2 linked regions of the Arabidopsis thaliana genome follow. The protein of the gene in region 1 interacts with the protein of each later gene in a pairwise test. Each region holds a gene or a part of one and is shown on either strand. Other genes may lie near its edges.

What was found. The genes of interacting proteins can lie anywhere in the genome.
Region 2: the proteins of AT4G05630 (region 1) and AT5G54067 interact in a two-hybrid assay, tested with the Arabidopsis thaliana proteins (one large-scale study listed by BioGRID).

What each region holds. Positions count from the first base shown.
Region 1 is NC_003075.7:2,986,053-2,993,328, forward strand, and holds AT4G05630 (B3 domain protein), read right to left. Parts: upstream 2,771-7,276; coding exon 2,396-2,770; downstream 1-2,395. Other genes in the region: AT4G05631 (uncharacterized protein), read right to left, coding at 3,954-4,136, 4,518-4,583, 5,059-5,160, 5,559-5,620, 5,703-5,728, 5,804-5,817, 5,890-5,972, 6,087-6,258 and 2 more.
Region 2 is NC_003076.8:21,938,886-21,943,744, reverse strand, and holds AT5G54067 (B3 domain protein), read left to right. Parts: upstream 1-1,598; coding exon 1,599-1,979; 3' UTR 1,980-2,143; downstream 2,144-4,859. Other genes in the region: AT5G54062 (egg cell-secreted-like protein), read right to left, coding at 4,265-4,859.

The sequences.
Region 1 (7,276 bases):
TTTAGTTGGAGAACCATACTCTATCCATGAAATTGGAAATTTCCATTTAAATCTTCTTTTATGATAAGAGTTCTTATAATTAAATTCAAAATCGAAAAGTCCAAATAACCTATGAAAATATTCATAGGCCGGAATTAGGAAAGGAAACACTTTGGTTTCTACTATCTCTTTTGAGAACGTTATCATATTACTCAAACCTATGTTTGATGGTGTTTAATGTTATCAAGATGTTCCAAGGGCTGTCCACATTAAACGCGCGGCTTATCTGGATACAGCTCGGTATCTACCTTAAGTTAGAACACAAAGATCTATGGGTATCCAAGGGCTGTCCACATTAAACGCGCGGCTCATCTGGATACAGCTCGGTATCTACCATGAGTTAGAACACAAAGATATATGGGTATCAGTTTTAAGTGTTCTTTTTCTTAGAGATATCTAGGTAAGGTTTGGGTTAGAAATTTTGTTAATGTGTTAAGCATATATATAATGACACAAAGATATATTTTCATTGAGCATTAGTCAAACTTAAATCATATGCACACATATATATACCGATCAAATGAAACCTAATCCGCTTAGTTGAATAATTAGCAAGAAATAACAAACAAATCACTTAAATTTGTATTCAAAACCCTAAAACCCAAGAGAAAATGAACAAGGTTTCATTCATAAGCTTAGAATAGCGCAAGACTATATATATAGACAATAGTAACGAAACAAATACAACTTAAATTTTATAATTTTTTAATTCTAAAATATTATTTTGCAGTGGACCGTACATTTAAATCAAACAAAATAATAGCGTATACATAGATCATCCTAAAAAAATTAATCTTTTATTTAATTAACATATAGGCTCGCGATGTACCGCAAATTAATCTCTAACAAACATAAGGGATACACTTATATAGAAAATGAATTAATCTAATTATCTAACTAATAGAATCATATAAGATATATACATATCTCTAGAATATATTCATAATATCTTCTTGGATCATATGGATCTTCTAGATCCTTCTATAAGAACATGGATCTTTTTGTTTCTCTTTCTCTTGTTCTATGTTATTTTGGTTTAATTAATTTAATTGGTTATCTTATATACATTTTTGCAGCCATTTTGTGAAATAAATCCTGGAGTTGGAACTTATTTACAATGGCTGTCACCGGCTTATTCAATGCGAAAATTAACTACCAAATAAAAGCAAATCTTATTCAAAAGAATATGCTCTTATTCCATGGCCTAATTATTTTTGCCAAAATGGTTAAAAGATTTAAAAATTAAATAATCATTCGAAAGAAAACTTTAAATTGATTTAAATTATAAATATTTTAATAAAAATATTATTAAAAAAATAAAAAAATAATTTCACCGAACATGATTAGATAGTAGGACTAGATGGTATGACGTGTTTATAATATTATAATATATAAACTTTATAACAATTAAAGAAATATTTGAAAGAAAACTTTTAAATTGATTTGAATTAAATATTTTTTAAATTAAAGTATTATTAAAACAAAAATCACAAAATAATGTCTAATTTTACTGAACAGGGTTAGTGGTAGGACGGGTTTGGTCGACAGTATTACGAGATGGTATACTACAAGTGAAATCCATTAGATATGTTTAATTTCACTGTGCATGATTAGATGGTATGACGGGTTTTGATCGATAATAATACAAAACGATATACTACGGATGAAATCCTAGATATAACAATTAAAATCTATATATACATTATCTTAAACACTAAACAAAGCAAACAATATTAATAAAACAAATATCTACATATACATTTTATATAACAAATTTTATTAAAAACCTAGCCCCGCGGTATACCGCGGGTCAAAATCTAGTTAGTTATTATAGCAACTGATAAAAAAAATATAAATTAGATGCCGATTATGTATAATTCAGAAATGTCATCAGATTTGTTACAACATGCATATAACCTTTTTAAAAGCCAAAATATTTAGGCACATAGAAATTGTATTAGTTAGATTAACGCGTGTTAAAATAAATTAAATTTTAATACATATTAATTTTTGTTTTGCTGTCTTGATTTATTATTTATTGCAAATTATGAGAACTGTTACACAAATGATTCTACCACAAACAATTCCTTTTTATGATTTACTATCAAAATATTATATTAAATTTGAATGTATAGATAAAAAATTTGGAGAAATTGTTTCTCTCGACTCTTTTATTATTTACATATATTATCTTATAAATCCAAATATATATATTTATAAATATAAGAGAAAAACATGTTCTCTAGAAACAGGAATTAAACCAACATAATAAAACGACAACAAACTGGACTCGATCAGACAAACCCGGTATAGATGCATATCCGAGAAATGAAGTTGTGAAGATTCGCTCCATCAATTAAGCAACATGTTTGAAATTTAGTCTAGTATGACGAAGATCCCACCAAAATGCAATAGTATCGCCTGCTTTGTAATGTTTTCTTTTTAGAATATCATTCCATCCATGAAATTTAAAATTATTTCCATCTTGTCTTATGATTACATATGTTGTAATTTGAGTATCAATATCATACACTCCAATCATCTTTGGCTTGTCTTGAACTTGTAACAACTGGACGAGAGTACTTATCTCCATGAAAGGAAATAAATTGGTTTCTAGTAACGCTTTTGGCATCATTATCGTAGTACTCCTATCGACGTCAAATGGTGACAACGTTATCATGATGTTATATGGGTTGTTTGAGTCATACTGCTTATCTGGAAAATTCGCCATGAGTTAGAACAGAAAGATATATGAAAAATCGGGTTTCAATGTTCCTTACTCCGTAAAGGCTTATGCAAGGTTTGTATAAAAATATTTGTTTGTGTTAAGGGTATATATAGTGACAATAAGTTGTACTTATGTACGTGGTTAATTGTAATTAAGAGCTTATACCAATAGAGAGATACTATGTTTTCAAGTTAGATTAAAATTAATTAATTGAATATGTTTTGTCTTACCCAAATAACACTAATTTTGTTTGATATATAGTTTCATAATATTATGACATATATAGTTTTGTAGTTATTGAATTCTAACACGTGTTAAAGTGAAATAAATTTTGACAGGCTGACTTAACATCAAAAAGTTTTGAAGTAAATGTCATTTAAGTATTTGACATTTTTTTGGCTCATGTAGTTGTGAGCTTGCAAATTTAACTCTATAAGATTCTGTAAGATTTTTTTTTTACTTAAGACAATAAATAGTTTTTCTTTTTGACCAAACTATTGTGGCACATAAACTTTAATTACATTCATTAGAAATATGGGTAATATGTTAATCAGTGAATTATATGTTAGAATATATATACACAATATTTTCATGAGTATAATAGATTCATTATTAATTGAACATGTTTTCTCTTTCAACAAAAGTAATAGTTAAGTTTTAGGGGATATTATTGGTTTATGATTTCAAAGGAGTTTTATTGACTTAAAATGTCATGTAAAATATGTTGTTATTCAATCAAGATAATATAAAACTATGTTAATGTTTTGTGTTATTCATTTAAGATTTGTAAAAAGTAATCTAAAATCTTCATAAATTTGGGGTTATTGGATTCATATTCTTATAAAGTCAGTAAGAGTTTTGTGGTATTCAATTAAAACAAAAGAATCTCTTATTGTTAATGATTTAAATTATTATGTTATTGGTTCATGACTTTCTATATTTTTGTTTACAAAATAAAGTCATAAAAAGTAATGAAAAATATTATCAAAATAGAGAGATTGTTTAAGAAACTTTACAAGATTATTGTGAAGCCTAATCTATAATTTCCGATTAGAACTTGCGACTTAGTTTAGGGATTTGAAAGAAAATAGAAAAAACGCAAACAAAGAACACCGAGATTTTACGAGTTCAGGTTCCGGTGTGGAACCCTACGTCTCGCCGGAGATTGACTCCGGAATCCACTAGATCATAGCTCAAACTCGAGCTCATACAAGTGACCGTTACAATCGCTCACCGGATTACAGTCACTCTCAAGCTTTCTCTCACTCACCAACACAAAACCAGTTACTCTCTCTACCTCTAACTCTAAGCTCACGTCTCTCGTCGACTTGCGTAGTCTCGTTGTCACGCTTCTCTTATCTGTTTCATTCTGTTACATACTCAAAGAAGAGTAGAGAAGAAGAAGATACAGAGCCAATGATAAAAGACCCTTTTACCCTTCTAGTTGTGACTTATTACTAATCTCACGTGTGTGCTTCTCACGTGAGCCAATGAAGGAAGCTTGGGTCAAACCCTCTGATTGCTTCAGATACTTATCACACTTTAGCATATATCTTGAGATCGGATGACACTAAACCTTCAAATCTCCACCTTGTCATCGATCTTCTTCACGCTCCTTATCTAGCTTCTTGGATTCCATCTCCGGTACTTGAGCTTCACCGCTCATCTTGAACTTCACCGTTCAACTTCAATGCTTCCTTGAAAAATTGTTTCCTCAATGCATCTTAAAATCAACATGTCTTGATTCTACTTGAAGACTTCCTCGCAGCTGCTCCTTAGAACCCTTTAAACTTGCTCTAACCTTGACAACTCCAATCTTCACACTTCAACAACCATTAGTGAACATATCTTCGATGGAAAAAAAATAGCTGTGATGTGAATCACACCGACGTTCCCGAACCATCGACGTTCTAGTATCACTTCTTGAGTTGTGAACCAACTTTAACACAGACTTGTGTCAACAAAAAACTCATGTTTGCTTCACTTGTTTCCTTCACAGCCTGGATCCTTTTTTAACCTCTGCAGATCGATTCCTCGCTAGCCCTTTGATTCATTTCATGTGCACTGAACTTTGAATCAAATTCTCCCTTGAATCATTATGCAAAAATATCTTGGATCGCTTGTGCTTTTCTATCCTGAAACAGTCAATGATTCATCCTGCAAAACAATCTAAGCCAATAACCCGTTAGTAGTAAAATGTATTTAACTAGAGATTGTACTTACAGTGATTTGTTTGAACTTTGAGCATCACTTTGCACCGCCTATGTTACCAACAAAACATGCCTCCTAACTTTCACAGAGAAAGGAAAACTTCCGATACAACTCTTTTTGCTCAATCTGGTTCGAAACCCTTCTGAATCAGCAAACCCTTTCAATCCAACAGATTTGAACCCCTGTTAGCTTCTTTAAACTTGTCTCATATCAACACTCCTGTGACATGCCTGAGACTTCTCCTTTACAGCCCTTGAACTTCACTCTAGAACTTCTCGAAGTCGCTTCCTTGCTGCAAAAAAAACACTCTGCAAAACGTCCTCACGTTTGCAATCTTCACCTAACTTGGCACTTGCATCTTAAAACCATCAGAGATTAATCTGAATCCTTTCTTTATCCTCATAAGCTTCCTTTACATGTGCCTATTTGTTACTTCTTATGAAGCAAAAAAGGTGAACAGAACTTTTCCTTGTTCTACTTCTTCATTCTCATCCTATCTTGGATGAATTCTTCTCAGTTGCTATACCAGCTCTTATGATGAATCTTTTAAACCATGATTTATGCATTGCAATTCACGTACTTGAGGTGAATGAACCGCAGACAAATTCTTTGCAAGACCTTGCACTTGTCTCTTACCGTCTCCTAAGAGAATCACTTCAATAAACTTTTATCTTGAGCTTGTACTTCAGCTTTGCTGATCTTCTTAATCATGCAACTGATATACCAATGTCTGAACTACCATCAAGCATCCTTTAAACCTGAAAAACTTTCCTTTTAACTCCTGTTGCAACCTTCTTATGCTTGAACGTTTCTGACATCTCTTACCCGTTCTCGAAACTCTGTCTTCTTCACACACTTGACCAATCCGAATTATATCCAAACAGCAACTTATTTCTTCTCATAGCTAACACCTGATGCGTTGAAAACCCAGTATACTCAGACCTTGTCTTTGTACTTAAGATAACCGAGAAACTCCTCAACTCTAAAGCTCCACCTGAAATCACAAACCATCTTTTACGAACGTGTATTACTTCCCTGTAATACTGATGACTCCACCTGAAACTTTAAACCATCGATGTTGCTTGTATCTCTCGACATTAATTCTGACTTGCCGAGCGAACTGCCTCTTTGTCACTGTCTCTATAATTCTCAATCATAAAACCTTGTGCGCTTGACTGTATGAACCTTATCACTTGATATATCCATAATTCTTTCCACTTTGTAGCTACACCAACAGTCTCTTTACTCTTTAGCAGTTTGCTTCTAGAGAAGCTCTCAATCTGATTTTGTGATATTATATTGAATACTTTAGTCTTAGAGACCAACTGATCAACCACTACCTTGTTATAGCATTAGAACACTTGACTCTTCACACCCTTATACTGAATTTCTTCCACCATAACAGATGTCTCCTGGAACCATCTCACAAAGCACCACCCTTTCTTATTTGCAGAAATTCTCACACTAACTTGAATGTACCATTTCTGAAAACTCCAAAGAAAACACCCGAATGATGCTAGAGATTTATAAGCAGGACCTTTATTCTTGAGTCTTCATGTCTAGATGTTTCTATAACCAGCTGATCCATTTTTATTCTTGACTCTCATACTTAGCCATAAGAACCAGAAACCAACTTAAAATTTCCTTGGTTTCATTCTTACTGGTTTATACCAGTCACACCTTGATTTCCTTTTACACTAGATGTTTCTTCATCTGTAGACTGTAGTTGAGAATTGTTTGGTGCTTCTTGTGTCCTTGTTACTTTCTCTGTTTAAACAGAGAACACTAATACACAAACTCTTGCAGCCTTGTTTCATTTTTCCTTAAAACACTACTGCCACCAAACAAACACAAAACGATGCTGCAGCTTTAATCCATTTTCACTTGGAATGTCCTAGCTGCCACTAACTCAATGATGACCAGAATTTAACCCTTTGATTACCATATCCTTTTAGCTCTTCTTATCTCTTAAGAATCTGATAATTACCTCTGAGACTGAATCTTTGAAGAACCCTTACTCAAAACTCTTGTAATACCTTGAATTTTTCTGAATTATCAACCCACTTTGACTAAGCAGAATTCTTGATTATTCTTGAACGATCCTGCAAATTCTGTCTTTCAATACCGAGCCTTAACTGATGTCCAAACAACCATTAACCCAATACCAATCAAACAACCAAGGCGTCCCCAAGTTCCTAGACTTTTATGAGCTTCCAATAGCTGTTCTTTACTTATCTTGAACACAAGTTTGCATCAAAAAACTTCCACACTTCCTTAACCAGAAACCACACTAACCAA
Region 2 (4,859 bases), on another chromosome or scaffold:
TTTTTTTTTAATAAAGAAGAGAGTTAAAAGATAATTTTGTTAGCTAGAGTTACAGGGCTGTGAGTCTGTGATCAGAGCTCTGTTATTCTTCTATATGATGATAAAATTCATATATTATTGTAGACGATGATAAAACTTATATTGAATTGAAATAGCAGCCATGCTTGTGAATATTAAAACTAGAAATTTTTACTGTAACGTCAATGTTATACGCACTAGAAAATCAAAATGCAATATAGAGTTTTAAGGAATATATAAAGAGACTTAATGGTCGATAAAGAGATCAAAAACAAACTTGTTATAGCGGTTGCATTGGTTGTGGCCGCAGGTGAAGAAGCGACGGTTACATAGGCGATAATGGATTAAACGACGAGCCTTGAGTGAATCCGGTGGGAAGATGAAAAAGGAAGAAACACCATGGCAGGTGAAATTCGACTATGCTCACATTGCAACCATTGCATCGGTCTAACTTCCTCTTTCATATACTCACATTTTTACGAGAATCAACCAAACAATCGTTGCGAGAGAAGCACTTGGATCCTACCTTCCATTGCACTTACTGTTTCCTTGTTTTAAGAGTGAAATGTTTGATTGTGATGGCTTTGGTTATCACAAGAAACAAACAATTGTATAGAGTAACTCAAGTTAATACTCATTACTGTTTATTACAATAGTTACATTTTAAAATTCGTCCGTTATGTCAACCTTTGAAACAAAACATGGAATAGAATTTATACCATGTTGACTGTTAACATTGTAGTAAATAAGATGTATTCAAAGTACTAAAAGAAGTAACAGTCTACTTTACTGACTAAACTTTACTAACTATATAACAGCAAAGTTTATAACTAATATAAAATGAAGCTTTTGGGCTACCTAACCGACATGCCACAACCAAATTTGTTGCTCTGCATGGGTCCTTTTGCAAGATTGGCACGACTCATAAAAATGCTCCCAAAAGTCCGTACTACAAAAAGTTTCGGAGGATTAAAACTATTCTAAATTTCTAATCTTATTCTAATTAAAATGCTCCCAAACGTACGTACCCTACAACAAGCTTAGCAACGACCTAAATTAAATTTCAGATTTTTTATACTTTTTGTTGAGTGAATATGATTACTTTGGGCTTGCAAAACACTTAAATATGTCAAATGGTCCGTTTATAGATTATTGAGCGTTTTCGTGTGGACAATTTCTTTTGTGGGCTGAAGTTGGGCGGTCCATAATGGATTACAACGATCCATTGGAGCCGGCTATGATACTATTGTAAATATTATATTGGTTCGGGGCAGCAATGTAATTGGTTGGAACGCTCAAAAAGAGATTGAGAATAGAAATGGAAATGATCTAAATCAATAATTTGCACAAAACTTTATTCTCAATTTACCAAGTGAAAGTTATCTAAATCTAATATTTTGCAAAAAGTTTACTTTCCAATTCCATATTAAGAGAAATCTAGATATTTAGACAATTTTCTAATTTGTTTCAAAAAGAGTTCTGATTTTTTCTCTTTTGTATTTTACCTTTTTTCTTAGGCTAAATCTCCTATATATATGTTTGAATAGAGAACGTAAGAAATATAAAAAAAATTAAGCAAGATGAATTACAACGATCCATTGGAACCGGCTATGATCATAACAAAAGTGCTATCAAAGAGTGATATCGTTGGTAATGTGGTATTACCGAAAGCAGAAGTGATGTCTGTCCTCACGAGGATGAATGTTAACGACCAAGATTTGCTAAACGGTGTTGAAGTGCAAGTCGACGACATAATGGAAGACGACTTATACACAGTTACGCTCAAAGTATCAGGTATCGATAAACCTAAATATTATTTCGGTACTGGTTGGAGTACTATGAAGCATTCGTTAGATCTCTCAGAAGGCGATGTTCTGAAACTCTACTGGAGTCACTTGGACAACAAGTTCGTTGTTTTGAATTTTCAGTATTCAGTACTTCCATTAATGATTCCAGTGTAGCTCGCTTGCACCTATCTTCTTTTCTGTTTTTGACTATTTATGTTTTGGATTTCATATCCTAGTTAAGTGCTGGCTTTTTTTGCCCTATCTTTTTGTTTCTCTTTTGTCAAACTTGATTGGATTATCTTGAATTTGAATTTCAATAAAACGTGGTTCACTTGCCCTACACATGTCCACACACAGACAAAAGTCTTTGACAATTATGTAATTTCCTGCTAGCGCTATTGTATGTGAGCCTAGTTCATGGTCCATCAATCGAGCCAGCCCAAAGTCACCTACTTTTACATTGAAATTGATGTCCAACATGATATTGCTTGCCTTGATGTCCCTATGCAACACACACCGATCTCCCTCTCCGTGAAGATCTGTGTGTCCTAGGTGAGATAAGGGGTCTTTTCTCAAAGAGGTGAGTGTCCAAGCTACCATTCGGCATGAACTCCTATATAAGCAAATACTCATCTTTTTCATTACACCAACACAATGGGCTGCACCAGGTTTCGATGACGCAGTTTGCTAATGATCTTAACTTCGGTTACAAACTCTTTCTTTCACTGCTTGGAACCACCAGACAATTTCTTCACAGCAACCATCATATCTATTTCGTTCAAGTACCATCTATAAACTGCCCCAAACCCTCCTTCACCAAGCTTCCTCTGGGCTGAGAATCTGTTGGTAGCTAAAACAAGATCCTTATAAACAAACCTCAATATCCAAACTTGAGATGAACTCCCATGATAAAAGCTTATGTCCCTCTGTGACCGATCCAGTAGCGGCTGAAAACCCGACCGTAACATGTGGTGGCAAAACCTTTGCAAGATCAATGATATAGGAAATGCCTAAACTCTCCTGAGGATCAGAGGTTAATTCATAAGCCCAAGACGCACTCAAATTCTTAGTAACAGAGTCATAGGAGATATGTGCATGACCAACATCTTGGATATGTGAGCTTGCATTCCAAGAAGTGTAGTTAGACGAAACAAGAGAGTTATTATTGATTCCCACATGAGATCCAACAGTGGTAGGATCCCATTCTTGGTTATTGAATGAGTCAAACTCGATATGAACCAGCGGAAACGAAGATGCGTAGCTCTCGATTCGAGAAAAAAAGACCCAAGAAATCACCAGCTGAGTTCACAGGAAGTTGAATCCGCAAAGGAGCAAGAAAGAAGCAGATCCCATGACCGTAATTCTAAAGGTTACGGGTATCAATCTTAAAGGAGAAACTGGTACTAAAATCTGTAGGCTTACCAGTTTTAGGATTCCAGAGAGGCACTTTCTCAGCATAAGTAACCCAAACACCCAACCAACACGAGCTATATACTCTACGTTGTTGAAGTTTACCGTCCCATCGGGTATTGCATCCCCATGGTAAACCACATCCTCAGGACCACCTGGGATTATCGAAAGGAAGGGCCTTTTCGAGCTTGAAGCTCCCATTACTCCATGACGCAATCTGTTGAAACTTCATTCTCATAGTGATCAATTAGCTTGATCTACCGAGGAAGATGACAAAAAATTTCATTCGAAACTTGAATCAAACGATTCAGGAGTTCTCGCTCGAATTTGAAAACCCCAAACACAGAATCTGCAGAACAGAAAATCGCACAATTGATTTGAAACGAAGATTCCTAATTCCCCGGTTTGATCGTACGAACTCAGTGAGATACCGCCGGTTTAACCAGATAACCATTCGGTTTAGATTTAGAAGAAATCTTCGGTTTAAGGAAATCGCCCATTTGGCATGGGCTTACAAATAAACAAGCTTTGGCGAATGGCCCATATCCCGCTAAATTAATGACCCATGGATTAGTTTGTTTTCTTGTAATGTCCCACATCGGTTACAATATTCAGGAACAGTGACTAAAGTCTACTATAAATAAAGATCGAGAGCATTTCTTTAATATTCACGGAGCCGAGCAGTGAAGACAAAGCGAGCTATTCTTTCGCCTTTTACTAAAGAATACCGTGTCTTCTCTGCATTTAATCGGCATACGCCTATTTTTGGAAAGGTTTATTACCAAAATTATAAACCTCCATCAATTAGAAAGTTTGAAAAGCTATTAACCTTAACTATTTCTCTAGGCTAAGTGATAGTCCAGTCTAAGTTGAAAGAAAGAGTCTTGAAGAAACAATAAAAAGTGTGTCGAAATTTGAATTTCTTTATAGCATTGTAGAAAATAATATAGGTAGAACAAAACAACATCCGCCAACATTTGGAATAGGGATAATTCATGAATTTAATGAGCCTAAATTAAAACATTGTGAATGATGGTCCCATAGCTACTTCACTTGTGTGTAGGAGCAGATGTGTTGATGCGAGAACATACATTTTTGAGGAGAGGAGGGAAGAACGGATTTAGTGGAAACATTTTTGGCCAACATTTTGCATCCACAGCCATAAACGCCTTGCAGCACATAAATCCTACGTTATCACACTTTCCTGTGAAAACTGATTTGTAGATTTCAGTTACACAACCTTGAACGTTGACAAGTGATGACAAACATTTTGTGAGATCGATCGGAGAACCAGGGATGACAGGGAATTGCGGTGTCTTGTGTGCTGGTGCACCTGAGATGATGCGAGAGCAACCATCCTTGAGAAGAGGAGGGAATAATGGATTCAACGGAAACATTTTTGGCCAACACTTTGCATCCACTTCTGTAAAAGCCTTGCAGCACGTGGATCCAACGTTTTCAAACTTACCGGTTAAAACAGATTTAAAGATTTCGATATTGCAACCGTGAATGTTGAGGAGCGATGACCAACATTTTGCGAGATCAACTTGGGAGCCGGGTAGAGAAAACCCAGCACTGGTAGGGAGTTGAGCTAGCCCGGGCTTCACTAAAGTAGTGGCACACAAAGTCACAACTAGAATCGTC